Linked DNA regions of Elephas maximus indicus. The protein of the gene in region 3 purifies or fractionates together with the protein of the main gene of each other region. This does not show direct contact. Links are inferred from orthologs where the notes say so. Each region holds a gene or a part of one and is shown on either strand. Other genes may lie near its edges.

Region 1 (7,387 bases), on a different chromosome or scaffold from region 3:
GTGAGATACCGGGATCGCTGAGCTGGAAACTGCTGGGAGCCAAAGGTTCTGTCTTCTGAGCAAACTGGAGAATTAGTATATTGACTAACTTGTGCCAAGCACCTTTTTAACACTGCAACTCTGGAGCAGAGGGTTAAGTCACTCATGCTCCTCAGTACATATCATTATAGATAGATCTACAATTTCATTTATGTCCCTGTTAGTCTTCCCCCAATCCCTACACACTCACTCTTAAACACCCATTCTGCTGTGTTTTGAGTGTAACTTTTTCTTTTTATAATTCAAACTGTATACAATAGTTGAGTGTGTAAGTATTTTTAGTGGGAATGGACTGGATGGCACTGGGCTTGGGTTTTTTTTTTTTTAAGTTTACCTATGTAGCAGTATTTATTATTTATTTCATTCTGTCTTTTCACTTGGCACTGTTTTTCAGATCCATCCATTTGCTCTGTGTACATTGCACCCATTGCTTAACTTTTGCAAAGTACCCCGTGGTATGCATTTACCACATCTATGTCTACGGAGTCCCTACTGTGTGCTTGTGCTATTCTCCATGCATTATTTCATTATATTCTCATAGCAATCCTAAGCAATCCTGTTAGTACTATTTCCATTTTATGAATGAGGAAACTGAGACGCAGAGAGTTAAGTAACTCACCCAAAGTCACACAGCTAGACGTGGTAGCACTAGAAGCTTAACCCAGATCTGACTGTTGCCACCGGAGAGCTCACAGAGAGAAATCTAACTGAAGACAGAAGTTCTCTCTTAGGTGAGGGGACGGAGCCTGACAGAGTTCTCGTCCTGACTCGGCTGCTTACCTCCATAGTGCAAAAGGCCTCCGTTCATCAGATGTTACTTCCTGTGTAAAACGAGAAGCCTGCACTGGAGGAGAACAACTTTAATGCTCTTTCTAGATTCACCACTTATTGGTTAACTATCCTTTCACTAATGGAGAAATAATCAGAAGTCAGGTGTTTGTTCCTTTCCAGTACTGCACCTGGGAGCCACTCCAAAGACATGAAAGCCCTTTGTCATGTCTGCTCCCTGCTTGCAAGACTCCTCCCCAATAGAACTAAGTATTCCCAGGAAAATGGAGTTGCTGCCTCTGCCCCCACCCACCTCTCTTGAACTTTGCACTCACCATGATGAAATATTAACCGGGCTAATGTTTCTCTTCCAAGGGCAACCTCTGCAGAAGCAGGCCTGGCTGGGCCCCAGGAGACTGGGTGCCAGAACAGGGTGCGTATCTATTGCGAGCCGCCCACCCATTCATCACCAAGAGTCAAGAAAGCACACAGGGGGCTCTCAGCACTGGGAGGAATCAACTTCTCGGCCCTCCTCAGTGCTTTGAGAAACTGGGCTTATTCTCCCAACCCTTCAGATGGAGAACCAGGTCAGGGGAGAAACAACTAGCCCAGAAACATCACTATTGGACTCACACGTGGGTCCAGTAGTTTTTCTGCAAGCACAGCTATCCCTGCCACACGGACACCAGAACGGAGAGGAGGCACAGGAAAGTGTGATGCAGCCACACCAACTAGATGGTTGACTAGTTATTTCTTCCCATCAGGAAACGAAGAAGGCTGAACAAGTGCCCCTTCCAATGCCATGATTTTAGACAGCACAGTGGTTATGCATTCGGCTGCTATTCAAAAGGTTGGTTCAGAGCCACCAGCCACTCCTTGGAAACCCTATGGAGCAATTCTACTCTGTCCTATAGGGTCACTATGAGTCAGAACCTACTCAAAGGCAGTGGGTTCCCATAAGGGTTAGAGTACATTGCCAGGCCCTTCTCCTACATTCAGTCCTCAAATCTCTCAGGTGGGGACATAGCAGCCTGAAGAGAGTACTATTCCTGCCTCTGAGACTTACCTCCAAAGTGCACAACACCTCCGTTCAGCAGGGGTTTGCACTGAAGAAGGATTTTAACACTTTCTAGATTCACCATCCTGGACAATAAATACCGCTCGCTGGTCCATTCTCACAGCTGAGGGAACAGACGCTCAGCAAAGTGAAGGGAGGGAGATAGCCAGGATTCAGAACCAGGTTAGTCATGGATGGAGTATGACCTCTTTTTACTTCATCTGGCTGCCTCTTAAAGGTTGGACTTGCTTGGTCTGATGTTCAGGAAAAAAGGATCATTTTACTGGGAGATGGTGACTCCCATTCTTGCCCACGGAGGCACACCCCTCCCTTTGGTGCTTCTCTGGGCTGTGAGCTCCTTGAGGTTGGGGACCTTCATCTTTCCTTTGGGCTCTCCTAGAACTAGGTAGGAGGACTGCAACACAGAGGTGCTCAATAGATGCTTGACTAATGAACTGAGCTCCCAACCTGCCCCCTCTTAATGGCATCAGCTGTGGGCCTGAGATGTTGGCTCTACCGCTTTGTAACACTTGACCATATGCAAAGCCTTTTTTCATATTAGATTCCCACAACCATTCTAGGAGGCTGAGAGGAAAGGTATTTCTAGGCTCATTTTACAGGTGAGCAAACATTTCTTGGGGTATCACAACAGTGTGCCCCTGTAAAGAGCTTTCATTGTGCAAAGAGCACCTCCAGTCATGTGACTTTGCCTTCCATAACTTCCTAAGGCAGCTGGGTGCTGTGGCAAGAATGTAGACTGAGGTCTCACAAAGCACTAGGTTCAAATCCCAGCTCTACTACTTGGAACGCTTAGGAAGCATGGCAAGCTCACTGTGTTTCAGGTTCCTGTGAGCTACAGTGAGATCGACCTCAAGAGTTGTCCTGAAGATTAAATCAGACGGCAGCACCTGAGCAACCTGGGTTGACAAAAAAAAAGTAGATTGTCTTCCTTCTTTCTCTTTCTCCATGGGGAAACTGAGGGCTGGGAAGAAGGGAGTGAAACCTAAGACCACAGTGGCAGTGGATTATAGCAGGAGGACCAACCAGGAACATGAACCAGGTTGCTAAGTTCCAGTGGGGGTTCAGGGCATCTTTAAGGTCTGGGCAGGGCAGGCTTTGGAAGGAGGGGAGGACAGAGAGCAGTACCCAGGAGCAGAAGCCACAGGCTTGGGTGAAGCCATTCTCTGTGACAAGGCAAGGGCCCCTGCACCTTCTGGGCTGACTTTGTGGATGCGGCCACACCTCACTGGGCTTTGTAACTCCCCACCCGCTTGAGGGTTTGCAGATAACTTCTTTCTCACCACGGGCGTTTCCTGCTGTTAAAAACAAACAAAGGCTTTAGACACCGGGCTAGGGGCAGGGTCGGGGGAGAAGGCCGTAGGCATTGGGGAACTGTGGTGACTCCTGAAAGCGGCTGAGGGGCCTGTGGTCAAACGTCCCTGAATCACTCAGGTGGCGAGAAAAGCCCCGGAGCTCCCCCAGAGTTTGTTTGCTTCCCACCCAGGATAAGTTTGAATAATAAAGTTCTGGGGTACTACTCCCGTTCTGCGCCACTTTTTTCTGAGGCCCCTGCTTTGAAAACAAAGCTGTCTTCTGTTTCTTGGTTGCTGGATTTCGGATCTTTCTGTGTAAGACTCCACAACACCTTGTAAAGCAATTTCCCCCTAAAGGTAAATTCTAAACCGTCTTCTTTCATTCCTTCATCAACTCAGCAGATAGATGTCTTTGAGGTCCTTTCCATCGGGCACTTGGTTCCCAGGGCCCAAGGGACCCTTGGCTTCAGCTAGAGTCCGAGGAGTCCCTGAGGTCCCCAAATCTCCACTTCTGAGAGTCCCCTCCTACCCCCTAGCTCTCGCCTCCGCACTCAGTCTCGGGACTCTCAGCTGGTGTGATCTCACCGATGAGAGACTAAAAACAGCACCCGGGTCGCCCGCGCCGGCCAAGGCCTCGGAGCGGGATCAGCGCGCGCGGGGCCTCGGCCTTACGTGCGTCCCCTCTCGGGGCCGGGTCCTCGGGTGCACCGCTAGCCCTTGGCGGGACGGCGCCAACTTGCTGCAAGCCCAGCCCTCTCCGGCCGGCAACTCCAACAGAGCTTCCCGAGTGTGGGTTCCGAGAGGGGACGCCAGGGCCGGCGCCCGGGCCTCCCGCCTGGGGTCCCTCTCGCCGCTCCTTTCCCACGACTTCCTCCCGGCGCCTGCCCGACTTCGGGTCGCGGCCGCGCGGACGCCCGCGCGCTCCAGCCGGGGCCGCGGCAGCCCGGGTCGCCCACGTGGGCTCGCTAGGCGCGGGGCGGGGGCAGGCTGGGCGCCCTCCCCGGAGCAAGGGGCGGGTAGGGCGCCCGGGGAGGAGGCGGTGGGGCGCGGAGGAGGAGGCGGAGAGCCCCAGCGGCGAGGGGGCGGTGACAGGGTTTGGAAAGGAGGCTGCACGCGGATTTGCATGAAACACAGACTGGGAGCGGGCGGGAGCGGGAGCGCGGCGCAGGCACCGGCCGGCCCAGCGAGCGCGCAGCGAGTACGGAGGAGGAGGGAAGCCGGGAGGCGAGGCCGCAGAGGCGGAGGGATCTGCGCATCAAAGCGAGCGAGGAGTGCAAAGTTTGGCTCGGGGGTTGGACTTTCCTTCCCGGAGGCGGCACCCAAACTGCTACCCCGTGCGGAAACCCAAACTTTTTTCTGCCACTCCGAGTCTCCCGGCCGCCGCCTCTGCCCCGCGTTCGGGGCCTGCTCAAACCGGTGCCGCTGTCGTCCGCCCGCCTCTCCTGCCGCCCTTCTCCCCGCCGTGGGAGCCGCTCGGGGCGCAGGGCCGCGCGCCGAGCCCCGCAGGCTGCAGCGCCGCGGCTCGGCCCGGCACACGGGAAAGTTCGCGGAGAGTTGAGGCGAAGTTTGGGCGGCCGCGGCCGGCCCCGGCAGAACTCCCTTCTGCGCCCCCGGCGTCCCGCCGCGTCCAGCCCCGCCGGGGGCGCCCCTGGCCGCCCGCGCGTCCCCACCCCCCAGCCATGTCGTCCATCCTGCCCTTCACCCCCCCGATCGTGAAGCGCCTGCTGGGCTGGAAGAAGGGCGAGCAGAACGGGCAGGAGGAGAAGTGGTGCGAGAAGGCGGTCAAGAGCTTGGTCAAGAAACTCAAGAAGACGGGGCAGCTGGACGAGCTGGAGAAGGCCATCACCACGCAGAACGTCAACACCAAGTGCATCACCATCCCCAGGTGGGGGCCCCGGGGCCCCGGGGGGCGCGCCGGGCCCAGCCCCTTGTTGCGCAGGGTCGGCTGGGTGCATTTGGAGAGGGTGTGTTTGTGTGTGTGTGTAAGGGGGGGGCTGGGGCGCCAGCAGGAAGGGGGTGAGGGGACCCCAAATAAAACCCTTTCTGGCTTTGCAAAAGATTCAGAGCCTGGGGCTTCCACGCGGCGCTCTCGCTTCCAGACTCCACACTCGCTCTCCATCTCCCGGAAAAGGGGGTGCCGCTGGAATTGGCCGCCCCCACCCCGGGGCGCTGCGGGCTGGAAGTTGAGGCCCGCTTTGTTCGGCTCGGCGGGCCGGAGCCCCTCCTCTGCCGCTGCCTCCCGCCCCCGCGGCCCGCGCTCGTGGAGGTGGTGGTGTGTCTCCCTTTCTTTTCTTCAGCCCTGTCCCCCCTCTCCTCCTCAGCAGGAATGCAGTCCGTACAGCCGGGGCTGTGGGTGAGGAGCAGGAGCTCGTGATTGACAGATTCCTTCTTCTTTCTCTGTTTGCCTTCGGGATTAGCATTTTTATCGAGTATTTTTAGACTCGGTTGTGCCAGTCTCCCGCCCCCTCCGCACGCAGACACGCACTTAGTTGCAGTGCGCTGTTCTGACTTTCCAGTAGGAGAGACCAGTGGCGGAGAGTAGGGTCGTCCTGCTCTCCCCGCCCTGCACCGCCCGGCCCCGCACTGATTTTGCCCTCCTTTTAGCCTAGCAGATTGCAGGTCGTTGCAGAACAGAGCCGGCTAGATAACAAAACGCACCCCAAAGTGGGCCTCGCAAGGCCCTCGCATTCCTGCAGAGCCCTCTTTCCCAAAGCGCTTTACCATCTGTCTGGACCTCCTTTATCCTCCGGATCGCGCTCGCTGTGTCGGGCGGGAGCTCACAGATGGCTGATAGAAGGGGTCACTGACTTCTCTCCACTTCCTGGACCCTCGATTAGCTTAGTTGCGCCTGGCAGGGAATTGGGGTGGGGGCGGCAGCTTGACCTCCCGTCTCTCCCTCCCAGCCCCCTTTGAAGTCTGATTCTGAGCAAGGGCCTGGGGAGTGTGTGTGTGTGCGTGTGTGTGTGTGTGTGTGTGTGTGTAGGGGTAGTGGGGCGTTGTGGGGAGCCCCAGGCTGCAGAGGAACGAGTTGAGGGCCCCAAGACCAGAGTCCCAGATGGATTGTCATCCTTGCGTCAAGGCCAGGGGTGGACTCCATCCTTGGCCACCTGCTTGGGGCAGCTGTGCGAGGGCTGCCAGCCGTGGCAGGCAGGCACAAAGCAACATCTGTCCACGGAATCCCAGAGCAGGCCTCCTCTGGAAATAAATGCCACATATGGTGGGAGCGCTGACTTAAAAAATAATTTTTTTTAAACTGGGTGGATCCAGTCAATAAAGGGGGGAGGGAAGGCGGTGTGCTGTCTGGGAAGTGTGTGCTGGGTGTGTGATCAGGAGCCAGAACTGACTTCAGAGGAGGTGGTGTGATGGGCTGGTCGGAGAGACCTGGTTCTGCTCCCAGCTCCGGTTCTGAATTCTTCTTTATTCCTGTGGTTGGGGGAGGGTGTCTTACTTCTCCTATCTGAGGACGGCTCTGCAAAACCTGCCTTCTCCTTACCTGTCCAGGGTGCCCTGAGAACACCTTCTCACAAGTTGAAGCAGAGAAAAGGTAGCAATTATAGCCGAGAAAGTGTTTTACAGTTTACAGAGCACTTTCACATGGTTTTATGAAGTACTTAAAAGAAAGCAACCAACCAACCCCTGGAAAATAAAGCAGTTATGCTGAAGATTATCTCATTTTTAAAGCTGAGAAAACTTTGGAGGAGAGAAGTGAAAAGGCTTGGCATAGAGGGCTTGGGATTCTCAGCAAACCTGGTACTCTTTCTGTTACTCTGTGCTGCTGTGTACTTGGAAGTTTCTGGATAAATCCTTTGCTGAATGCTTAAAGCAAGGTTAGCTGGGTGGAGGTTGTGGATGTTTCCTTGGAAAGATTACTCTTCTCGTTGTATCGTCTGGCTGATAACAGCTTGGAGAAGCCTTGCTTTTCCTTGCCTTGGTGGGAGCTTGCCCTCTGTGGAGACATAGCTGTGTGTGGCCTGCCTTTTCTGATTTCAGGATCCTCTGTAGCTCAACGCATGTGAACGCTTTGGATGTCTCTGAGAGTTTAAGCTAACCTTCTCCCTGGCTTTCTTCGGACTCTGTTTTTTTTTTTTTTCTTTCTTTCTCCCTGGCTTTCTGCGGACTCTGTTAGACTGGGGCATCTCCTACCCGCCTGGCAAGGACCCGATGCTAAGGTGGATTTTTTTTTTCATCTTTTCCCAGTTAGCGAAACCCA
Region 2 (7,608 bases), on a different chromosome or scaffold from region 3:
CCATTTCCTGCTTAAAACCACATAACAGCTCTCATAGACCCCCCTCATGTAGGCTAAGCCCTTTAGATGGTCCCAAACACGACGCTCTTCATGGAAAGGCTACCCAGCACTTACTGAGTCTTCAGCTTCACACCACTGTTTCCCAATGCCCACCCCAATTCCACTTTTCCTTTAAAATTCTGCTCTTCACCACTTCTGTGATGCATTCCTTAACTCTTCAGATACCCCCCACATCAACTTATCCCCATCATTATATATTTTTTGAAAATGCTTCTTTTGCACTGTATTTATCACACTGTGAAAAGAGGTTAAAAAAAAAAAAAAAAATGACTATCCACCCCCCACTAGGCTTAAAAGCCCCCTGGGGGCTTTACATTTAAGTAAGGGCTTAAATACATCACAGTTTAACTGAAGAAAATATCAATAGCTACCAAAAAAAAAAAAAAAAACCTGCTTACCACACCCCCAAAAAACTTATATCACCTTGAAGTGGTCAGGTAAATATCTGGTTTACAGAGAGTCCTTTCCAAAAGACTCTAAGGAACTACTTAGTATAAGATTCTAAAAACAAAACCCAGCACTGCTCCTGTAGTTTTCATACACTTCGCATATGTAGAATTAAATTTTTACTGAAATAATTGTTATCATCAATGCTGATTAGATAATGAAATGTCCTTTATACCACTTACCACCAAAGTACTTCAAAGTTTTCTCTAAAGCAAAACTAGCTCACCTAATTTCTCATCCCATAAGAAGTAAATTTGTCAAAAGGTACAGAAAATCCTATTTCCATATTCCCAGGACTACAGAAATACTCCCTATATAACTAATTCAGAGTTGACTCCTACATCATCTTTTAAGTATGCTTAAGAAAACTTCCAAAAACGTTTCCTTTACCCTCCAGTGATGCCTCTCAAACGTTAAAGCCTAGTAATAAGAGTAACAAAAAGACTGCACATAAGAACATTATTCAGGTTACTGATTCTGAAATCTGTATTAAAAGGAATGTGGCTTAAGACAACAATATAAGAACATTTAAACCCTGACCCACAAAGAATTTGCTAGGTTTTTCTGGCACCTGAAGGCCACCTTACAGCAACTGCTAAAAAGGACAAAAACCCCTACTGTTGTTAATGGGGATGTGTGGATCTCGAAGACTACTAGCTTCAGCAAAAAAACAGGATAAATTCACTACTGGCAAAACCCAGTAGTTTAAGAGAGGCTAAGTGCAACTTTTGGCTCCTTTACTTGAAAGTAAATGCTTAAAGTGAGAAAAACTGAGAAGCAATAAACCTGTACAATGAAGCTTTACAAGTTTTACCAAGTAAAGACATGCTCTGTTCCAACAAGCTACCACACCTTGTTAAATACTAGGAATGTGCCAACACAACGTACAACGCAGCTAGGTAGACCTCTGTTTAGGATGGACTTCTGACTTAAATTACATAGAACATGCTAGAAACCTGTCAAGTTCATTAAAATAATCCCCTTAAAGATGATCAATATCTACCAGGAAAAACAAATTAATTCAATACTGATTATTTAAAACCCTACCAATCACTTCCATTCCCTCAGTTTCAGCATAATCACAAAGTTAAAAACTGAAAGACATCTACTCAGGTAACATTTTCAAATCTATAGCCACTGCTTTTAAACTCCAAGATGTACCTATCTTCAAACAGCCTAGGAAATATACAATTATCCTGGACTGCATGTAGCTCAGAAAGCAATGGTCTCAACTGACAAACTTCTATTAAGTATAGCAATTACCTGGAACCTTAAACTATAAACTCTCAATTGCAAGGAGATGAAACTTATCAACAAATTCAGAGTTAGCATAGTAAAATTAAAACACATAGAGCAAAACCTGTGAGAGCCAAAACTCCACAAGGATTTCCTTGTTTTTCCAGGTCTCAGAAGTTTTCCACCTTGGACGGTGCAATCTGACCACTTTTCTATCACTTGTTTTGGTGAAAGGTGTTTGACTTTTCCTTCTTTCACAGATTTCCACTTTTCCAAGTTTCACCCTCTCTCTACATACATAAACATAAATCAAGCATCGACTTTATGTAATTTAAGCCAAAATAAATGCCAAATGTGGTGTGATGTCCACAACGATAATCTAATTGAAATGACGTTTTCTTACTAATCAAATTAGCAAGCCCCTTTCTTACTTCAAGCACTGTAACGCTGAAAACACAAATACAGTCACATAATATCAATGTTTTCAGTGTAAGCAAGCGTTCTTTTAATTTTGACTTGCCTGTTACACATTTTTCAAATATACAACCTACAGGTCTACTATGTATCTATCTCACCACTCCCTCCCCCATTTGCTAGCTCTGTAAATAACCCTTGATGGAGACAGTGACAAATCGACCATACCAGAAATGTGAAAGAAAAAAAAAAATCTTCCAAAGAAAATCACTAAAACTTACTTTTCCACCAATGCGCACTTGTGCCTGCAGTTTGGCGAGTTTCTCCTGATTCATGATAGTTTCTTTCATCTAGGAAAACAGAAAGCCCTCAGCGGGAAAGGTCTAGCTCACTCTAGCCTTCCACGCTCATTATTTCCCAAGACACCAGCAGGGGAGTAAATGTCCTACACAGGCCGAGGCCTGGATCCCCGAATCCACCCCGCAAAGCTCCCAATTTCAGTTTTGAAGGAGCTTAAAGAACCACCACCTCCCCCACCCGTCCCCGGGAACGCCCCGCTCTTTGCGGCCCGGGAACAAGGGCTCTAACCCGAGCCCAGTCAGCATCCCCCACCCCCGGCCCTGGCCCGGCCTTGGCCTAGCCAGGGCCCGCCCGGCCCAGCCACTCTCAGCAAGCCTCGTGGTACCTGAGGCTCCTGTCCTCGGGTTCCGCCGCGAGGAGGAGGAAGAGACGGCGTCGCCTCGACCCCAGGGCAGCCGCCCCTGGCTCGACCTCGCCCCCGAGAGTCAGACTGAGTGGGTGCGCCTGTCCGTCGCATCGCCTTCCTCTCCTGAGCCCTGTCCCTCCCTGTCTTGCTCCTTTCGGGAACTTCCCGCCCCCGCTCCCGTCCTCCTCCCACGCCGGCGTCCAGAGCCTTTTTGTACCTTGTCGGAGCGGAAATGGGGCCGCGCGGGGGACTAAGGTTGGCGCCCAGGGGGTCTCTGGCAGACCAGCTGAGACTAGGCGCACACACGCGGGGACGCAAGATGGCAGCTAGAGGGAGGCCGGAAGTGACCCAACGCCACTTCCCCCCAAAAGTCAGGAAACGGGCTTGGTCGCGCGCTCGGCGCCTCGGTACGCACGCGCGGCCCTGCGCCGCGGCGATTGTGACGGCCACGCGGGTCTTCTCTTTTTGGCCCTGCAGCGAGAGACTCTGGGCTAGAGGCTTCCCGAGTAGGCCGGGGAAAGGCTACAGAGGGGTCAGAAGTATGGTTCTTTGCACAGTTAAGGTTGAGTAAGTCCGTCCTGTCTCCGTCGGATCCTGATCCCGAAGTTCTTTTCCCGAAGAAGAAAGTTCTTGTTCGTGTTTCCGGGGAACGCCTCTGGCGCCCGCTGTGTGCTCGCTTTTTAGCTGTTCTCCGCTCCCCGAACTGTGTAGATTCAAACGATCGTCTCAGTGTTTTAGAAATTCCCCTTCAGCCCGAATGAGCTTCTGCCAAAACGTCAAAAACAGTGAAGTTAATTTTGCTTTCCCAGATTAGGTGGTTTGGTAGATTGTGAGACCATGATTCAGAATTTCTGGAAATTTTTATGTTCAGAATGCACCCCCAAATCCTGCCCCTCAAAACGATTCAGTAGGGCTGGGAGTGGGACCTGGTAATCTGCATTTCAGCAAGTTGGCTGACCAGCTTAATCCAGTCTACGTGATTACTTTGTTTCTCCTGCTCCTTTCACAGGCAAAAAGTTGACTCCCTGGTATCGGTTTGGCGTGGATTTGACAATTAGCGATTTACGATTGAACAAACATTATCTTTCTTAACTAAGTAATTCAAAGGAGGATTTGTACCCGGTGTGGTTGGAGGATCTAGGTTTCTGGGTGTGAGGTAAATTTGCTAAACGCCTGTACAAGCTGGAAGACAATCTACCATAAACCCACCAATATTAAAAATGACTGTTTAATAAAAATGCTGCTTCGACACCCTTTTTGTGGTCTTAGCTATAAAATGCTTTTTCCCAATCAAAAGTCAGCCCAAAATCTTAGCTAGAAAGAATACAGTTTATATAGAAGACAATTCTTGTGTGGATTCCTCTCCAATTAAGATTATTCGTTTTGTTTTTCAGTACTTTTCACATGTAAGGAATGTTAAAACTGTAATGTCCCATTGAGATAACTGATGAGAACAGCTGTATTGCTTTTTAGGCTAGTGTAACAGTTGATAGTTGCTCAATTAAAAATAATTTTGCTTCTATTATTAAATATGAGTCAAGTTTAGTATGGAAAAGGATGTTTGTTGTGTTAGGCTATGTGGGTCACAGTCATAAAGATGAAGATCAAAATGACTGACAGCTATTCTGTGCTATGGAGAAATACTGCCCGTTTTGAAAGGACTGTATATATCTGTTTGAGGAACAGCTTTTTCCCTTCTTCCATGTTATACTGGGGACATTTGAAATTTCCCTAGTCATCTCATGTTTTCTGAGCTTTTATGTAAGCACAGACTTCTTAAATATGTCACTTGCCACCTGACTTACCTCTTATACAACTGTGTTTAGGAAACGTTCCAGGTTTGTTTTTTTTTTTTTCCTCTTGGTTCACAATGTTCCCTCTTGTTCTTTTGTTATTTTTAAGAATCTCATTGAAAATCGTAGTAAGATTTTTCTTTTTAATAGTAAGAAGTAAATAGGTTAATAGATTTACTTCTTATTAGTAAGAAAAGAAAATTTTGACTTTTGACTCCATTAGCCGCTTCTGCTTATTTTGTGCGTGGTCAGAAAGTTCTGAATCTGCTAATATTTATATACAGGTATTTTCAACAATAAGTGATAGGATTTTTTTTTTTTCACTCCCCCAAAATTGTTACTAAGTTGAGGTCTTAGCTCAGGGATAGCGAAAGAGTCTCACCTGCTGCCTTTTCCCATGTGCTCTCAATGTCTATGGCAAATGTGGATAACTGCCTCCCACGCTTGACTGCTGCACTTTAACAAGCCTAAAAATCATTTTACTCAACACTCAAGATGGCCTCTGTCAAAAGAGTTGGCAAGAAAGGTGAAATCTTTTTGCCCTCTTTGGTTTATAGTTTATGGTCTAATCAAAGTCCAGGAATGGTTTTCACCCCTCAGTTGGACTTCAGTATCCTTCAGCAAGAAGAAAATATTCACTTTATATTATACTTACTTTTAATGGGCCATTGAGCCACATTCCCGCCCACAAGAGGTATTGGGAAATCACTCAGGGTGAATGTTGCCGTGCTTTTTAGTTGCTTCATGGTCTGGCTGACCCTCTCCTGGTAGCCACCTCAAAATTCGTTGCCACTGAGTCAATTCTGACTCATAACAACCCAGTAGGACAGAGTAGAACTGCCCCCAAAGGGTTTCCAAGGAGCATTCAAACTGCCAACCTTTTGATTAGCAGCCGGGCTTTTAACCGCTGTACCACCATGGCTCCTGGTAGCCACAAGGGACATTTAATTTTGTTTTGTTTCTAAACCTACTTGAACTCTCCTTCTAGCACCCCTATCTTTGTCAAGTTAGTGCCTATATATCATTTGGCTGTCAGTTTAAATGTCTCAGCAAACCTTTCTCTAACACCTCCAAACCTGTTAAGTTACCTATCCATCATAGCTATTTTAATTGTGGTATTTTATTAATGCAAAATGAGAAATTGACAATTGTAAATTAGTGGCAAATTGAACTAGGAGTCTAAAGAACAATTTCCCACCAGGTTAATATCGACTGCTTGCTCTTTGATCATTTGACCCTCACATAAATTTTATGAGGTAGGTACTTCCCATTTTACTAGTGAGGGAACTGAGACTTAGAGGGTTAAAAGGTATGAAAATAGAAACAACCTCATCTTCCCTCTGCCTGCTGACCTGTATGTATTTAAACCTATAAATACTGCCTTCACTCCTGTTACACATAGAAGAAATATTCTGCCTGCTTGTACTTTGGCTTATGAGATTCCGGACCTTGCGTCATCTGTTATTCTCTCCTATAATGCTGTTTTCTCTCTTTGCGTTAGATCATTCTACCAGTACACTGACGTGCCTTAGTATTAGGCATCTTAAAAGAGAGCAAAACAAAAAATCTACTTTTAACCTATGTTCCCTTCTGGCCAATACTCTGTGCTCACCTGTACAACAGAATTTCTCCAAAGAATTACCTAAAGCCTTTATCTCCACTTTGTCTCCTCGCATTCTCTCTCAGTCTGCCGTAAATGTGTTTTCATTTACTCCAGTCCTCTGAAACAGCTCCTCTGTTCTAAAAACCTCCATCTTGCCAAATCCAAAAGGTAAATTCTCAGTTCTCATTTTAGTCTTTGAGAAGCATTTAACACGCTCAACCACCACTAACCCTAACCCTAACTTTTTCTTCTCCAGGCTTCCAAAGCATTCCACTTCCCTTGTTTTACCTTACCGGCATTTCCTCAGTCTACTCTCTTCATCTTCCTCAATTAGAATTGTTCACATTTTAGTCTCCGTTGTTCTCTTTTCTATCTACACTCTTCTTAAATTGTTTGATCCTATCACTTTAAATGCGATCTTTATTTTTATGACTCCCAAGTTATCATTCCAACCCTGCCTTCTCTTGAACTCTAGATAGGATAATCTTTTCAGGTTGCTGTGGATAACTTCACACACATACAAGTAGAAAGAATAAAGTACCTCCATACACTAATACTAATTACTAATACATAGATGCGATATTCTTCATTTGTGATAGGGTAACCCCCCTCTTTTCTTTTTTGAAGTTGACATTTATATTCCATATAGATTTTAGATTTTGTTCAATTTTTAAATTTTTGAATTGATTGGGTAGATTAATTTGGGAAAGTTTGACATGTTTTCTAATTTGGGAAGATTCGACTCATCTTTATGAATCTGTTCTGTTGTAGGAAATAGATCTGGCAGTTTTGAATATGTAGGGATTTAACATAGGGAGTCAGTACTTAGAAAATTGTTTAAAGGGCTGGAGACGTGGGCTTTAGCCTGGGTCATCAGAAATGAGTCTCAGGATAATATATTGTAGAACTGGCCTATTAGGGGAGCTGCTGCCACTGCCCCCATGAGGACAGTGGAGAACCAGGACCCCACAACTGGGAATTATTGATGTTAAGAACACACCATTGTTGCTGCAATTCGGGGATCGAAAAAGATACTGTAACAACAACTACTCAACACCCACAAAGCTAATGACTGCACTTGGAAACTGCTGCAGAAAATAACACTACCTACACAATTATGCCTGCCAGCAAAAAAGCAAAGAAAACCCACAAAAAACAGCAGGAAGAAGGTTGAAGCCTTATTTCCACCTTCCACATTTTACTTAAAAGTACCTAATTGGCAGAAGTAATTTACCTCTAGAACACTAACTGCAAAGTAGTCTGGGCAATGTCATTTTTAACTTTTTAAATTTATAAGCAAGCTTGAAAGAAGTTGGAATGGATGCTAACGACCAATCTAACTTAGCCTA
Region 3 (7,792 bases):
TTCTCAATGTCAGAAGGGAAGACGGAAAGAAATTTAGGCAAATTAAGCCCCCAACGTGCACTATAATTTTCTATTTCTGAACTGATTTGTAAGAGAATAAGGGTAACTGAAATTAGCAAAGCATCACCCCTCACAAAGATGGCGCGTGCAGAATTTGCGAAAGCGGAAAAGAAGGTGAAGGAGAAGCAAAAAAGGGACGGCATACTGCAGTCTGGGGTGGTGAGTGTTTGGATGGGGGTGGGGAAAATGCTGCAGTTTTCATGAAATAATAAGGTGGGGGAACAAAGGCATACAAAGAGTAGGTTTTTCATTGTTTGTAAAATATAAACACAGATGAATTCTGTCTTTGGTTGGTTCATGCTTTTCACTCTGCACAGCAGGGATGTTCTTAAGAAGTTGCCCTCTGCGAAATTTCACTAAATGGGAACCGTGGACCCTGCATGATGGGATTATAATCACACCAGCCACTCCTTTTACATAATTTTTTGTTTAAGATCCAGTAAGACTCCCTGTTTTTACTATATATAAAGCAATAGACATGTCTATGTCGATAAACTGAGGATTTGCGTCCCCATAGCCTAGCGCAAGCTAAAACAAAAACTGGTGATATCGTATCTACAAATCTCAATGGACTCAAAAACAATATGAAAATTTTTAGCTGACAAGAACATGTCTGCTGCCTGCAGTCCTTGCAACAGCTCACCATGTTGCCTACTAACCGAAAGATCAAAAATTATCGATTTCATGGCGCTGCGTGCTCTGGAAAGAAAAGCTACTTTAAAATTTGCATTGTTTAAGAAATGAGTTAAAAGAATCTTTTTTTTTTTTTTTTTCCTGAACACTTTGGAATGTGAAAATGGCTTGTTGTTTTAATCTTATCCATGATTTACCATAATTCTATTATTTTTAGCAGCTGGAGTCCAGAAATCATTTTTTTCGATGAATTTAGGATTTTGCCGCAGTATACATCTGCAGTCCCAGAATCCTCCGGTAAGTTAATCCTTCTTGCGATGGGAAACGCCTTTAACCTTCCTGTGAATGAAGTATCTGCAACCATTTTGAAATTTTTATTAGAGGTGTGTGCGTGTGTGTGTTGGGAGGTAGACGGTGCCTCCAAAGCATGATTTCTTAGGGATGTGGCGGTATTTGTATTAGTACTTAGCAACATGGAGAAACAGATACCTTTGTGTTCTTTGAATATCATGGGTGATGTCTCCATTTCTCGTCCTTCACACTTTCTATGGTTGCCATTAAAATGTACTTCCTCAGTATGGCAAGGAATGTCCTGCCAAACCAGCGAAGGCCTCCGGAACACAGAACTGCGAGCAGAAGGGTGTTCTTGGCATAACTGAAGAGGCCATGAACATAACGCTACTGCCACCACCACCACCACCACCACCATCGTGTTCCACCACCTTCACGGCCCCTCATTCGATCTGAAATGCACACCAGACGCAAGCTTTCCACACTGACTCTCCGCCAAATCTGCCCAGTGGGTTCCCAGATTACTTGTGTGTGCGAGAATAGCCAACCATGTAGTCTGACAAGAGGTATTTACAACTACTTAGCCTGTTGAGCTGGAACGAAATCAAAAGATAACACTGAACCCTGAGATGATGTATTGCAAATCAAAAATAGTCCATAAATAGCCCACTTGACGAACTGCTAAATGAAAAACTGACCCTAACTATTGTCTGGTGTTTTCAGGTTGTCATAAATACTTTTAATGTGCCTTCCTAGAGAGTGGGGATTTACTGTTTTTAAAAGCACGGACTATTATTTAGTCTTTTTGTTGGGGGGGGGGATTCCTTTTAAGGGGATTCCTTTTAAGGGAATTCGGATGTAGAGTCCAGAGACCACACCCTGATTTCACAGCTCTTGTTTTCTGTTTCTATTTCCAAGTAGTGCTGATTAACATTTATAATTATTAATTTAAAGGATCTAATACAAAAGATCCAGTCATCTGTTTCCTTCTTGCTAAACGAACCTCATTGTCTTAGGTGCTCAATAAGTGTTTAATTAATAGATTTGATAGAGTTAACCACCCAAAAAGTGAACTGGCCTTCTTCACAATGCTGACTCGATAAATGCTTCTGTCCCAAGTGCAAAAACAATCTCTGGGCATTTATTCCTTTGCCTAAAGGTGATTCAAAGGTATGTGTTTTAGCAAAGGGATGCTTTACGTTCGATTCTGTGTAGTCACTGCTTGATCTGCCAATGGTCGAATATCACAATAATACCTCCACTGCTAAACCAGCTGGAGACGTGCTGGGTTTCTAGGGACACTGGCTGAAATTTAGAACCATTTGTCTGTTGCAGTCTCACAGAACGAATTAATTTATCTCAAACTCAAGTGGGCTGGCTCTACAAGGAAAAGGTGATAATCAAGGGTTTTTTTTTTTTTTTTATGAAATGTCTTGCTCAAAGTCAATTTTTAAAAATCATTTTTTACAAAATCACTTATTTCACCAACTCATTAGGTATTTCGATACTTGTCCTTTGGTTTAATGATAGTATTTATCTTCATTGCACAGAAGTCATCTCATATTTTTGATGAGACAATTGGAACAATTTGTTTTATGAGAGGAGGAAATAAGTAATCGGAGAAATTTGTTAAATTCAACTGATTTGTTTTAATGCTAGTCACCCAATAACTCTTCAGTATACTTACATCTGACGGGAAAAACTGCTTGCTGCATTGCTGCAAATCTTATCATTTCCTCTAAAAACATGTGTTTGCTTAAAGTATCAACAGATTAAAAACATTAATTCTATATTTAGAGAAAAATGCTTGGATTATTTTGGCACCTGAATACAGACATACAAATTTAAGAGTATTTTTATCCTTTAGATTGTCTAATGATGCAAATATTTCTTACGCCAGTGTTAACACCATGCCTTATTCAGCAAAAATAAACTGAGCATAGAAAAAGCAAACATCTGCTAAAAAAAACCCTCTAAATACTGTTTAATCTGTCATCTGATTTTAAGACATATGACTGTAATCAAATCAACCCTAAATTCTTTAACTCTGTACAGAAGAGTTAAAATTGGGGATTAATACCTGGAAATACCATTTATACTTCTGAGTTTATATTAGAAATATTGCTTTGATTAAATACCTTTTTCTGTTCCAATTGTCTAAATTACGACCAGCTGAACTGACCACAAGCATCAGCTACACTTAATTCCACAGATTACTAGCAAAACTGCATATGATAAAGTCATTCTGGACAATAGATCTCACTGAGTATCATCTTAGGGCTTGGACTTTTTCATTGCAGGAACCCACATGGGCTATGGCGATAGACGACAGTTATCATAACTGTATATAATAAAGTATTTTTTAAAACTGCAGAACGGAGTTTAACCTACTGGCCCTGAAGTATTAGCTATGCTAAAACTACCAGTGCTACTCCTTGAGTGAACCAGTAAGGCTAGGTTTCCTGCCTGTACCTATGTATAAACGCTTCTTGTTTGCATGCATTAATTATAATTCTGGTATAAAAGCCCCAACATAACTTTCACTGTTGCTTTTTGTACTCTCTTCATTGCTTTAGATGAAAAATAAGCATAAAGCAATAGACTAGAGAAAGTGAGTCGATAATAATTGTTTCAGCTTTCACAAATGCCAATCTTGCTGGATTACAATGGGGACATTTCCAAGGGAGATGAAGACCCAACTTCAGCCTATCAAAACGAATTAGAAAATGTTTTTGTCGTTGAAGAAAATTAGCTTAAAAAAAAAATTAGAGGCTGTCTAGTCGACAACTCCTTCCGTAAACAACATACTTCGCTTTCTCATGTAACACCGTTGAAATACACCTCCCACAAAGAAAAATCTCCACAAATAAATCTACCGGTACTTAGCACAGCGGAACCAGATAAAATTGGAATCTATAAGAATTAACCTAACTGACTGTCTCTAGCTAATCTATCTCCATTAGTCATTTGTTCACAGTAGGCACTCATAAGGACTTGTTGAATTGCAGACCTGGCGCACAATCTAGAGCGCAGCCTCCCGTAGTGGGATGGAAGGCGGCTCGGCCCGGTCGCTGCCATCCGGATTCAGGCTGCGCAGCCGGTCGGGATGCGAGATCCACGATCCTGACGGTGGGGGGCTTTGGGGTGGTGTGCAGCTGGGCTACGAGCCTGGCCTGGCAGGGAGTGTGTGGCACAGACCACAACCGGAGTCCCCGACGGACAGCGGGGCAGCGGGGTCGGCGGCGGCGACGCCCAGGCAGAGCTCGAAGGCAGGCGGGCCCCGACCCCGGTGCCCGCGCCGCCACCCCTCGGCTTCGAACTTCCACCCTCCGGGGACCCGGCTCTGCCCGCTCCGCACAGCTCCCGAGGGTCGGGGCCCAGGGGCCGCCTCGGGCGGGCGGCGAAAAGCGCGCGGCGAGCCCGGCGTCGGCTCTCATGCTCCGGTGGGCGCGCAGGGCGGGGGCGCCGGGCTCGGGACAGTGGGAGACCTCGGTGCCGCCCTGCCCCCGCCCCAGCACGCAGGAACTCCGGCCTCTCCGCCTCAGGCCATAACGCCCCCACGGGACGGCCTCCGCTCCCGCGCGGAGAGGCAACTACCGGCCTGCACCCTAAAGATGGTCTGGGAGGGCGCGCGCCCCGCCCGGGCCCGGGGCCCTGGGGACGCGGCGGGCGGCCAGGCTGCCAGGGACTACTTTCCACCGCCCGCCCGCGCCCCGCCCCTTGTCCTCGCGTGGCGGAATGCTCCGCCAGCGGCGGCAGGATACAGCGCTGCTGCGCCCCTTATAAGAGCTCCTTGTGAGGCGCCATTTTAAGCCTCTCGGTCTGTGGCAGCTGCGCTAGCCCGGCCCTGGGAGCGGAGAGCGAGGGGAGGCGGAGACGGAAACTGTGGAAGGGCCAAGGAGCAGCTTCAGTCCCCGCCGAGCCGCCACCGCAGGCCGAGGACTACTGGACTCCCGCGGCGGGCGGAGCCTGTTCCCCTGAGGTGCTGGACGCTCCTTTCCTTACCCTTCCGGGGCTGCTCCTGCTCCCTCTTCGGAGCCAAACTTCGTCGCGGGCGCGCGGTCCCGGCAGCCGGAGGGGACCCGGGCCCGTTGCAGCCCGGAGGCCCGAGGCGGGGGGCGCGGGCTGGGGCGCCTTGGAGGCGGCGGCGACGGGCCGCGCCCGGTGGACGGAGGGCGGCGGCCGGGCCCCGATTCCGCTCGCGCTGCCCCTCGGCGGTCCGGGGGGCGCCGCTTGGGGGAGGAGGGGGCGCCGCGGGGGGCGCGTCCAGGAGCCCGGATGGCCGGCGGGTTGGGGGGGCCGTGGTTTCCGTCCGGGGCTCCGGCCGCGGTCGAGTTTGGGGGAGGGACCCTGGGCCTCGGGATGCGCCGGGGCTGGGGTGGGGGGCGGGGGTGGGGCTCCGCCTTCCCAGCCCGAGTCGAGAGTTGGGGTTCGGGCGCTGGGGAAGGGGCGCTACGCTAGGTCGCTCCTGCGGTGGGGACACAGCCAGTGGGCTTTCTAGAGTCCCCTTTTCTTTCCCAAGGAGAATAAGAAAATTATTATTTTCTAATGCCTGTGCGAGTTTGGCACTGGCGCTTGTTAAAATTGAAGCAACTTTAAGCCTTAGAGGAACAAAACTCTTCAGTGCAGCCGGTGCGATGCGCCAGCAGGGTTTGCCCGTGTAAGATTTGTGTCTTGCACCTAAATTTTCTTGTGTCGGGCAGGTGAATGATAGCCAGCGAGGACGCGTGGGATATTACTGGGAGTCTTGGGTTTATGTAGGTGGGTGTGAGACCCAGTGAAATGGGGGGGGGGGGAGTCCGAGGGCGACGGGCTGACTGTTAGTGTAAAGTGAAGTGTGGGACTTTGCCTCTGTTTTGAGAAATCTGTTCGTAAAAGCATTTTATTCCAATAGTTTTATAATTAAACTATTTTTAGAGCACATTTTTCCCCCCCAGCAGAGAGAATTTTTCCCCAGCTACGAAATTGGCCAAGTGTAATTCAAGCACGGCAACTCCTTTCAGTGTTTTGTCTGGGGGAAAGGCTTTTTTTTTTGAACAGAGACTTTTCGGAGTTCCCACAGCCCGCTTCTCAATCGGCTAAGCTCGAAAGCTTTGGCAGTTTGTTGTAGTTGTTTCCTTCGTTTTCTGCTCGCTTTTGGAGGCAGCATTGTCTCATACTTTGTATCTTCCAGACATCTGTGGTCTCCCCTCCCCCTGAGTTTGTGAGTGGTGAATGAAGAGAGACTGGGCTGCTGGTATGCAGAGGTCGGCAAAAGGAAATCGAGGAGTGGTTTTAGTGAAATGAGAGCTTTGTATCATGAATAGCGGTGGCTTAGACTAGACAGCGACTTGAAGAGACGGCAGCGTTTCTTTTGATAAAGTCTAGGCTAATCTTTTTCAGATTGCTAAGTTAGAAAAGTATTTTGCCTGGAATTTAGGAAGCCATTTCACTCTTTGTCCCTTGGTGAACATTTCATACCTTCAGAGAAGTTTTCTCCTTGCCTTGTCTTCATCCTGAGAAAGTAATGTTAGATAAAACTTGAAATGCTAATTAAGGTCTGCTGCTATTTACTTCCTGCTTAAATGAGTGACCAAGATGTGTTGTTTGGAATCTTTTCTTTTAAGTGTGATCTAAGTCTGCTGCTACATTTGTTTTACTTCTACATTTAAACTCACAAAACCTCTGGATTAAAAAAAAACAGTACCATCAATGTTTATTTGAGACTCTCCTTTCAGACTAGACAAAATTTGATTAATTTGCACCCAATATTCATTAATTTGACCTAGTCTTTGTTCTGAAGGCCATGTACAAGGACAAGGCCCTAAAGTGATTGCAACAGTAACTGAAGAACTTGAAAAACTTGAAGAAGACTGTTCCATAGGATTAAAGGAATGCAGAGACTATTCAGGTTTGAAGTCCTTGAGGGAGAAATAAAAAAACACTGCGCTAAAAGTCTCAGTGTAGCACGTAACTTAGAGTCCTTGTGGCTTCCTAGGCCTGAGAATTTTTCAGAGGCCAGAACGGTCATTTTCGATAGTTGTAAGGGAAAACTAACACTTTTTTTTCCCACAAGGTAGCTAATAAAAAATGAAGCATTTAACAATATAGAGGTGTCAAGAAGCAGTCAAGAGTTTTTTTTTTTAACCTGATTACTTCATTTACCAAGATTAATTTGTAGAAAAATTTATATTCAAGTATTAAAACTTATTGAACTTTGAATTGAGCTTTCTACTGCTGTTAGTGATGATTGGAGTAAAAATTGTCGTAAATGGAGTTCCATATGCTTGTTTTCATAAATCCTGTTATCCAGGATAGAAGGGAAAACATGAAGTAGGCAAGTTTCCCCAAATGTATTTTGAGATGTGATGTTTAGAAAAACTATCTGTGGATATCTTTTTTATTTGTTTAGTTGCGGGGGGAGGGGCATGACAAGTCGAATGTTGAAACTAGGGCCATGGAGAAATCTAAAGTTTGAATATCATTCTTACATGGTTATCAGTAGCAGTGAAATTAAACACCAGAAATGGACTGTGTAAGTATATTTATCTAGATGAAACTTGTATTATTGAAATGAAACAGTGCATCTGTCCAGTTATGAGTCTATTTCCCTTTCCTGGCTTAGTAGTTGCTGATAATAATTATAGATGAGTAGGTGGTAAATTTTAAGTCTGTTCTTTGAGCTTGGCTACAAGCACGCTTGACTGCCAACTCAAGGTGGAAAGAATGAAGGCTATTAGAGCAAGACAAACTTCCGGTGAAAGTATTGGCAACTATTTTCTAGTGCTGTATGTTGACTTGTAACATTATTTTTGAAAACACTGTGTTA
Region 4 (7,987 bases), on a different chromosome or scaffold from region 3:
GACTCGAACCTTCAACACTTGGGGTAGCAGCTGAGTGCATTAAGGGCAATTAGGTGATACATGGTGCAATTAAACATCTTTTTATAAGCATTCTAGTTGTGTTGCTCTCTCCTACATTCAGTACAAGAGAGGAAGTAGAGGAGGTTGAGAAGCATTGGGTAAGGTTGATGAGCAAGAAAATTGGCTCTCCTTAGGGCTCTAGGGCAGGAATTCTTAACCTTTTGTGTGTGTGTGCCAAGGACCTTTGTGGTGGTGTGTAAAGCCCATGAACCCCTTCTCAGAATGGATTTTGTGTATGAAGTTATCTCAGTGCATTGGTAGCTTCCAAGTACACTATCAGGCAAGCTATTCCAGAAGTCACGGAAGAGAAAGCCTCACAGACGAAATTAAGATATTTGAATCACAGGGTTATTGAATCAGTTTAAAACACACAGCCTGAGCAAGGGGAGCCAGGTGGGGTTGGTCATACACACAGAGGAGGGTACCAAACCCAAACCGAACCTGTTGCTGTAAAGTCGATTCTGACTCATAGCAACCCTACAGAACAGAGTAGAACTGCCCCACAGGGTTTCCAAGGCTGTAAATCTCTGCAGAAGCAGACTGCTACTTCTTTCTCCCACAGAGCGGCTGGTGAGTTCTAACTGCCGGCCTTTTGGTTAGAAGCCAAGTGCTTAACCACTGTACTACCAGGGTTCCTGGAAAGAGTACAAGCAGGTGAAAGGACCATATCAGCTGAACCCTAATATTCATATCTTCTCCCTCTTCTCCTGTCACATCAGCCCTCCCCTCTGGTTGTGAGGTCAAAAGCTGAGGGTGCTCAAGGCGCTTCCACAGACAGAGGGTACCTGGAACCTACACACACTTGCTCTACGCCTGGACTGCAGCTGTAGCTCGCCATCTTTATACAGTTCAGCCTGCTGAACAGACATGGGTTTTATCTGTATTTCCTGGGCAGAGCAAATGTAGAGTCAGAATGGGGCCATAATGGTATTATCAATGGCGGACCACTTAGGGATGGCCTAGTTGTCAACCCAGAGATGGAATGATCACACCTTTTGACCTAGCTACTCTCTAAGTTAAACTTTCATTTATTCTGTCACACATTCCATTTATTCTATCTACATTTAATATATCTAACAGGTTACTAACTTATTTATTATCTATATTTAACACATCATATGGACTCCGGCTAGATCTCACAACCTACTTGCTTACTCATCATTCATTATCTCTTAAACTACTAGCTTCTTTACTCTCTGTGCTTAACACTTTTTATGAGTTTCACTCATTCTGTTTTTCTTGTCCTCTATATAAGAAGTGAATATTTTCAAATCCAGCACCCTCCCATTACAATAATGTTTTTAAATATATAAAGTGAAATATATAGTATTAAAAAAGAAACCAGTTATATTGAAAATACAGTTCTACTGAAAGACATCCTGTGTTCATGGGTTGATACACTTAATAGTCTAAGATGTCAACACTGCCCAAAGCAATCTACAGATTCAATGCAATCCCTATCAAAATTGCAACTGCCTTTTTTGCAGAAATGGAAAAGCTGATCCTTAAATCCATATGAAATTGCGAGGGGGCCCAAAAAGCCAAGGAAAACTTGAAAAAGAAGAATAAAGTAAGTGGACTAAACACTTTCCGATTTCAAAACTTGCTACAAAACGACAGTAATCAAAACAATGTCGTACTGGTATAATAATAGACATATAGACCAATGGGATAGAATTGAGAGTCCAGAAGTAAACCTATACGTCTATGGTTAATGAATTTTCAACAGAGTGCCAAGTCCATTCAACAAATGGTACTGGGACAACTGTATTTCCACATACAGAAGAATGAAGTTGAAACCCTACCTCATGACATATACGAAAATTAACTAAAAGTGGATCAATGACACAAATATAAGAGCTAAGCCATAAAACTCTTAGGAGAAAAAAGAGGGGTAAATTTTCAGAACCTTGTATTTGGCAATAAATGCTTAGATACGACACCAAAAGCATGACCAACAAAAGGAAACATATATAAATGAGACTTCATCAAAATTAAAAACTTTTGTGCACCAAAGGACATATCAAAAAAGTGAAAAGACAAGCTACGGAATGAGAGAAAATATTTGGAAGTCATACATCGGATAAGAGTTTAGTATCCAGAATATGTAAAAAACTTATACAACTCAACAAATAATCCTATGGAAAATGAGCAAAGGACTGAAATAGACAATTCTTTTAAAAAGATATGCAAAAGATGCTCAACATCATTAATCATAAGGGAAATGCAAATCAAACCCACAATGAGATGCCACTTCACACCTACTAGGATAGCTGTTATCAGAAAAAAAATGGGAAATAAGTGTTGTCGAGGACGTAGAGAGATTGCTGGTGGGAATGTAAAATGTCAGGAGCTGCTCTGGAAAACAGTTTGGTGGTTCCTCAAAAAGTTAAACATAGAATTACCATAAGCCCATTGCCCTCTAGTAGATTTCGACTCATCCCATGGCCATACAGGACAGAGTAGAACTGCCACACCCGGTTTCCAAGGCTGTGATCTTTATGGAAGCAGACCGCCACATCTTTCTCCCCCTGAGCGAGCTGGTGGGTTTGAACCAACCAGCCTGAACCTTTAACCACTGTACCACCAGGGCGCCTTGTTAAAATTAACAGCAATTCCATACCAGCAATATACTCAAAAGACTTGAAAGCAGGGATACAAACAGATATTTGTACATCAATGTTCACTGCAGCACCATTCACAATGGCCAAAAGGTAGAAACAACCCGTTACTGGAATAAGGTTCTTGCCTCTCACTGGTCAAGAATGAACAGGCTAAGGCACGCAGAATTTTCCACATAAGCAAAGCTTTATAGAAGACGCTTGCAAGCAGAGAAGAGGATGGCCTAGAGCAACGCATACCCCGTCTCACAGAACAAAAGACAGGCTGGGTTTTTAAAAGTTCTTGGGCGGTAAAAGACTCATGTTTATTAACACAGGCGGAGATAGTTAACTACAGTGCACGCACAGCAGCTTTCCAAGATAGCTCCTGTCCTGGAGGCCTCTGAGATTTGTAGCAGGACTTACGATGGGGTGTTGCGCCCGCGCAGTCACTCGCTCCAGCGTTTGATTCCCTGGCTGCTGCTGCAGCCCCTCACTGCCCCTGGTGCAAGGTCACACAGCAGGTCACAGGTAGATGTTCTGCGCATGTTCCTGGGGCTGGTTTTCTCCAGCTGCTTCTGAAAAACAACTTTAAAGAAATGTGTGGGCTATTTTCTGATACCCTGCCCCATTCTGGGCCCCATTGTTCTGGAGAATGGCTTTGTTTCTGCGCCCTGGCCCATTTCCTGTTACTTCACTTGCAGATTTGGGGGGCCCTCTATTTCCTGTGTTCAACCCAAATGCTCATCAACAAGATGAATAAACATATGTGGTACATAAATTAAAAAAAAGAAAAAAAAATTTTTTTTTAGTGGAATAATTACTCAACCATAAAGAGAAATGAAGTTCTGATACATGCCACCACACGGATGAACCTTGCAAAAAACATTTATACTAAGTGAAATAAGCCAGACATAAAAGGACAAATATTGTATGATGTCATTTTTACGGAATGTAAGTAGCAAATGCATAAAGAGAGAAAGTAGACTAGTAATTACCGTGGACTGAGGGTAGAATGAGGAGCTTTTTCTCAATGGGCACAACGTTTTTCTTTGAGGTGGTGAATAAGTTTCGGAAACAGTGGTGATGGTTGCACGACATTGTGAATATAATTAATGCCACTGAAGTGTACACTTAAAAATGGTTAAGATAGGAAATTTTATGTTCTGTATATGTTTTACCACAATAAAAAAAAAATTCAGCTCTGCATTAAATAACAAGATAAATCAACTCAGCAGTACCGGGTTTGGGTTTTTTTGTTTGTTTGTTTGTTTGTTTGTTTTGGTATGAGGAGGTCTAGTAACTACCGCTCGTGCAAGTACCGATGAACTTAAACAGTAGTTTGAATTATCTCCAACAACTGTAAAAACCCATTATCATCAAGTTGATTCCAACTCCTAGCAACCCTATAGGACAGAGCAGAGCTGCCCCACAGGATTTCCAAGGAGCCCCTGGTGCATTCAAACTCCCAACCTTCTGGTTAGCAGCCGAACTCTTAACCACTACACCACCAGGGTTTCCAACTGGCATAAAGTGATATGAAAGTATGTGACACTGTATATCACACTGTGACCCCACCCTGAATCCTCCCCCAACCCTTCCCTTCAACAGCAGATACTGGTATTGCTAATACTCCTGGGATTTAAATTCATAATGAGCAAGAGTCTGAATTTCAGTTCGTCTTCTGTCCCAATGGTCTATGGACTTCAGGTTAGAACACCCGCCAAGGGTCAGTTCGGGTTGACCTCCCACCACACGGTCCACCCTACAACAGATCAGTCATATTCAAGAGCCACCCAGCATCTTCCAGAACAGACTTGCCCTTCGCGGGCAAGAGGACACACTTGAAAAAGGGCTACCCATTGCCATGGAGTCCCTGCTGACTCATAGCAACCCTATAGGACAGGGTAGAACTGCCCCATAGAGTACCCGAGGCTTTATGGAACCCAAATGCCATGTCTTTCTCCCGCAGAGCGGCTGGTGAGTTGGAACCGCCAACCTTTGGGTTTGCAGCCAAGCACTTAACCACTGCGCCACCAGGGCTCCTTATAAAACGGGCAAGAAAAAAGAAGATTTTTTTTTTTAGAGGGTAGAATTAGAGTAGTAAGAGCAAGTAAGCTTCTCTGGAAGACAAAATGGGTAAAAGGAAGGGGACTGGTCCTTCACAGACGGTTCGAGCCCCACCACCATCCCCCTCTGGCAAACAGCAGCTGCTCAGAAAACGCCGCTTCGGGCGCACAGGAGACACCGCCCACCCGCGACCCGCAGGGGGCGCGCGCGTGCTGCCCGCCCGCCCCGTAAGCGCAGGCGCCGGGGACGTTCCCGCGGCCAGGCATCAGCAATCTATCGGGGAGCGCCGGGTGGTCGGCGCGGCGTGGTCGGCGGGGGCGGCGGCTTTGGGCGCTGGGGCGCCTGCGGTGGGCGGGCAGGCACGCGCGGGGCGGACGGGGCGGCGGCAGCCGGCGGCGGCAGCGTGTCTTCAGGTGGCGGCGTCGGGCTCCAGGAGCTGCAGCGGCACGAGGAGGAGGATGGCGGAGTCCTCGGACAAGCTCTATCGGGCCGAGTACGCCAAGAGCGGGCGCGCCTCTTGCAAGAAGTGCAAGGAGAACATTCCCAAGGACTCGCTCCGGATGGCCATCATGGTGCAGGTGCGGCCCGGAGGCCCGAGCTGGGCGTCCGTTGCGGCCCCGGCGGCGCGGGCCGCTTTGTACCGAGCGGGTCGAGCGGCGGGCGCAGCCCCTCCCTGAGAGCGCGAACCCCCCACTCGCCCCCGCAGTGTTCAGACGTGGAAGGGGCGGGTTGGGGAGGGTGCAGGCTGGAGAGCTGGCCCGGAGGGGCGAGCAGGGCCGGGAGGGGCGAGCAGGGCCCGGAGGGGCGAGCAGGGCCGAGAGGGGCGAGCAGGGCCGAGAGGGGCGAGCAGGGCCGAGAGGGGCGAGCAGGGCCCGGAGGGGCGAGCAGGGCCCGGAGGGGCGAGCAGGGCCCGGAGGGGCGAGCAGGGCCGAGAGGGGCGAGCAGGGCCCGGAGGGGCGAGCAGGGCCCGGAGGGGCGAGCAGGGCCCGGGGCCGCCCGAGCCGCTGGCCTGGGCCTGTGGGCGCCGCTGCTGCCACCATTCCTCGCGCGCTGCGTGGCCCGCCCGGGGACATTCCCGGACGGTTTTGTTGATCTTGCAGCAAAAACCCGGGAAATCTGGGGCTGCTGGTACCTTTTGATTTTTAAAAGTCGCTTCTGCCCTTGTTTAGGGCGGAAGAGCTCTTGTTTTTTCTTTTTACTGTCCGCCTTAGGGGGGAAAATAGATATGGTCTTTCGAAACTAGGCTGATTTTTTTTTTTAACACGTTATTTTTTCGAGCAGTTTTAGGTTTTCGGAAAAAGTGAACCGACTAGAGAGCTCCGTATCATCCCCTCCCCGCTGCACAGTGTTCTCCCCGTTATTAACACCTTGCAGTGGTGTGGTACATGTGTTACTGACGATGAACCAATGTTGATAAACTTAACTAAAGCCCGTAGTTTACGTTAGGGTTTTACTCTGTGTTGTATGTACGCTCCTGTCGGTGTTGACAAATGCGTAATATGTCCACCATTACAGCATTGTACAGAATAGTTTCACGGCCCTAAAAATGCCTTGTGCTCCACCTATTTATTCATCCCTCTCCCTGACTCCTGGCAACCCCTTTCACTTTGCTTGTAGGCTTGACTTTTTCCAGAATGTCCATATGGTTAGGATGGTACAGTATATAGTGTTTTCAGACTGGAAGCTAGCCTAACTTTGACCTACCTTGTGCTGGAAGATTTTTGTCCTACATTGATGCTGGCTGCTGACATGGGAGAATTTTTTTTCTTTTTTAAATCTATTTTTGGCTCTCATGTCAGCGGCCTGCTCACCCTCATTTTGAATCTTAATTTATGCAAAACTATGCAAGTTGGTGTAGTCTCTGTCCAGTACACGCCCTGCGGGTCTCACATATGTTTTAAAATAATATATCCCAGGTTCACAGATGTTCCCTTAATGCGTTTACAGCTGTCTGCTATGTGTAGAGTGGCTCTGGGAGGGTTGGTCATCTGGGCTTTTTGACCAGTCAGGGGTTCCCCCTCAGTGCCCTAAGGGGTTTTGGAGTGTACTGTGAGGTGGTGTGTCTTAATGCTCCTGCTAAGGGCTGGGGGTTCCTGCCTGCTCCAGCTTACAGTTTGCTGATGTAATTCTGGCTCTCACCTAGCTTGGTGCTCAGCATCAGTTAACTGTTTTCCTCCCTTGCAGCGAGACAGGAGTGTGTGTGAGGAATGACCACATAGCCCTCACTGGATATTCAGGACTTATGGGGTAGAGGTGTGGGAGACAGTACACATTAATGAAGTGGGTACCCAGTGCCAGGTGTACTTTATTCATTTCATAATATGGCAGTTACTGAGGTGGTTATCTTGGCATCCTCAGGACCTACCTAGTTCTGTACCTGGCATATGTATTTATTCAGTAAACATTTACTGAGCACTTGTTAAGTCCCAGGCACTGTGTTAGGTGCTAGGAACATAAAGACACACTGCTGGTCAGGGGTGGTATCCCCCTCATGGAACTGTGTGCCCAAGAGAGGAGGCCAAGAGGTCGCGCAAAGTGTGGGAGCTTGAAAAGGAGTCATTGTGTACAAAAGTGGGGCACAGGAAAATGAGGATAGAGGAGTAGCCTGGACCTGCAATTTGAAGAGCCATTTCTCCCATTAAGGGGCTTTGAATGGGGCATTGGTGCATCGGTGGTAGAATTCTCACCTCCCACGAGGGAGACCTGGGTTCTATTACCAGCCAGTGTACCTCGTGTGCAGCCACTACCCGTCTGTCAAGTTTGTCATACTGTGGTAGCTTGAGTGTTGCTGTAATGCTGGAAGCTTTGCCACTGGTATTTCAGATACCATCACAGTCACCCATGGTGCACAGGCTTCAGCAGAGCTTCCCAAACAAAGACTAAGAAGAAAGACCTGGCAATTTACTTCCGAAAATTAGCCAGTTAGCCAGTGAAAACTATTCATTACAAGGAAACATTGTGAGATTCACAACCTATCATGGGGATGGCACAGCCACAGGCAGTATTTCTATCGTACTTGGGGTCACCGTGAGCTGGGGCCAACGTGATGGCAGCTAACAATGATAGCAGGAGGTTTTGAATTTTACCCTCAGTATATGGGGAGCCTGCTCTTATGAAGTCCCATCTCAGTGCAAGGATTCTGCAGGGATTCTTAACCTAGGGTCTGTGGGATGGTGGCTGGAACTCAGAAGAAATCCATGAATTGGTGTGGGAAAATTTTTTACATCCCTATTTTTACTAATCTCTAGATGAAATTT

The links.
Region 1: the proteins of CTNNB1 (region 3) and SMAD3 purify together in Homo sapiens (affinity purification with western blotting; 6 studies listed by BioGRID, with this or other methods). This does not show direct contact. The link is inferred for Elephas maximus indicus from reciprocal best matches to the Homo sapiens genes CTNNB1 and SMAD3.
Region 2: the proteins of CTNNB1 (region 3) and BTF3 purify together in Homo sapiens (affinity purification with mass spectrometry; 3 studies listed by BioGRID). This does not show direct contact. The link is inferred for Elephas maximus indicus from reciprocal best matches to the Homo sapiens genes CTNNB1 and BTF3.
Region 4: the proteins of CTNNB1 (region 3) and PARP1 purify together in Homo sapiens (affinity purification with mass spectrometry; 4 studies listed by BioGRID, with this or other methods). This does not show direct contact. The link is inferred for Elephas maximus indicus from reciprocal best matches to the Homo sapiens genes CTNNB1 and PARP1.

What each region holds. Positions count from the first base shown.
Region 1 is NC_064831.1:57,135,852-57,143,238, forward strand, and holds the start of SMAD3 (mothers against decapentaplegic homolog 3), read left to right. Parts: upstream 1-4,338; 5' UTR 4,339-4,856; coding exon 4,857-5,062; intron 5,063-7,387. UniProt on the Homo sapiens protein: Receptor-regulated SMAD (R-SMAD) that is an intracellular signal transducer and transcriptional modulator activated by TGF-beta (transforming growth factor) and activin type 1 receptor kinases.
Region 2 is NC_064820.1:77,740,930-77,748,537, reverse strand, and holds the start of BTF3 (transcription factor BTF3), read right to left. Parts: upstream 3,069-7,608; 5' UTR 2,975-3,068; coding exon 2,843-2,974; intron 2,508-2,842; coding exon 2,439-2,507; intron 1-2,438. UniProt on the Homo sapiens protein: When associated with NACA, prevents inappropriate targeting of non-secretory polypeptides to the endoplasmic reticulum (ER).
Region 3 is NC_064838.1:45,680,640-45,688,431, forward strand, and holds the start of CTNNB1 (catenin beta-1), read left to right. Parts: upstream 1-4,771; 5' UTR 4,772-4,966; intron 4,967-7,792. UniProt on the Homo sapiens protein: Key downstream component of the canonical Wnt signaling pathway.
Region 4 is NC_064842.1:16,085,168-16,093,154, reverse strand, and holds the start of PARP1 (poly [ADP-ribose] polymerase 1), read left to right. Parts: upstream 1-4,978; 5' UTR 4,979-5,188; coding exon 5,189-5,308; intron 5,309-7,987. UniProt on the Homo sapiens protein: Poly-ADP-ribosyltransferase that mediates poly-ADP-ribosylation of proteins and plays a key role in DNA repair.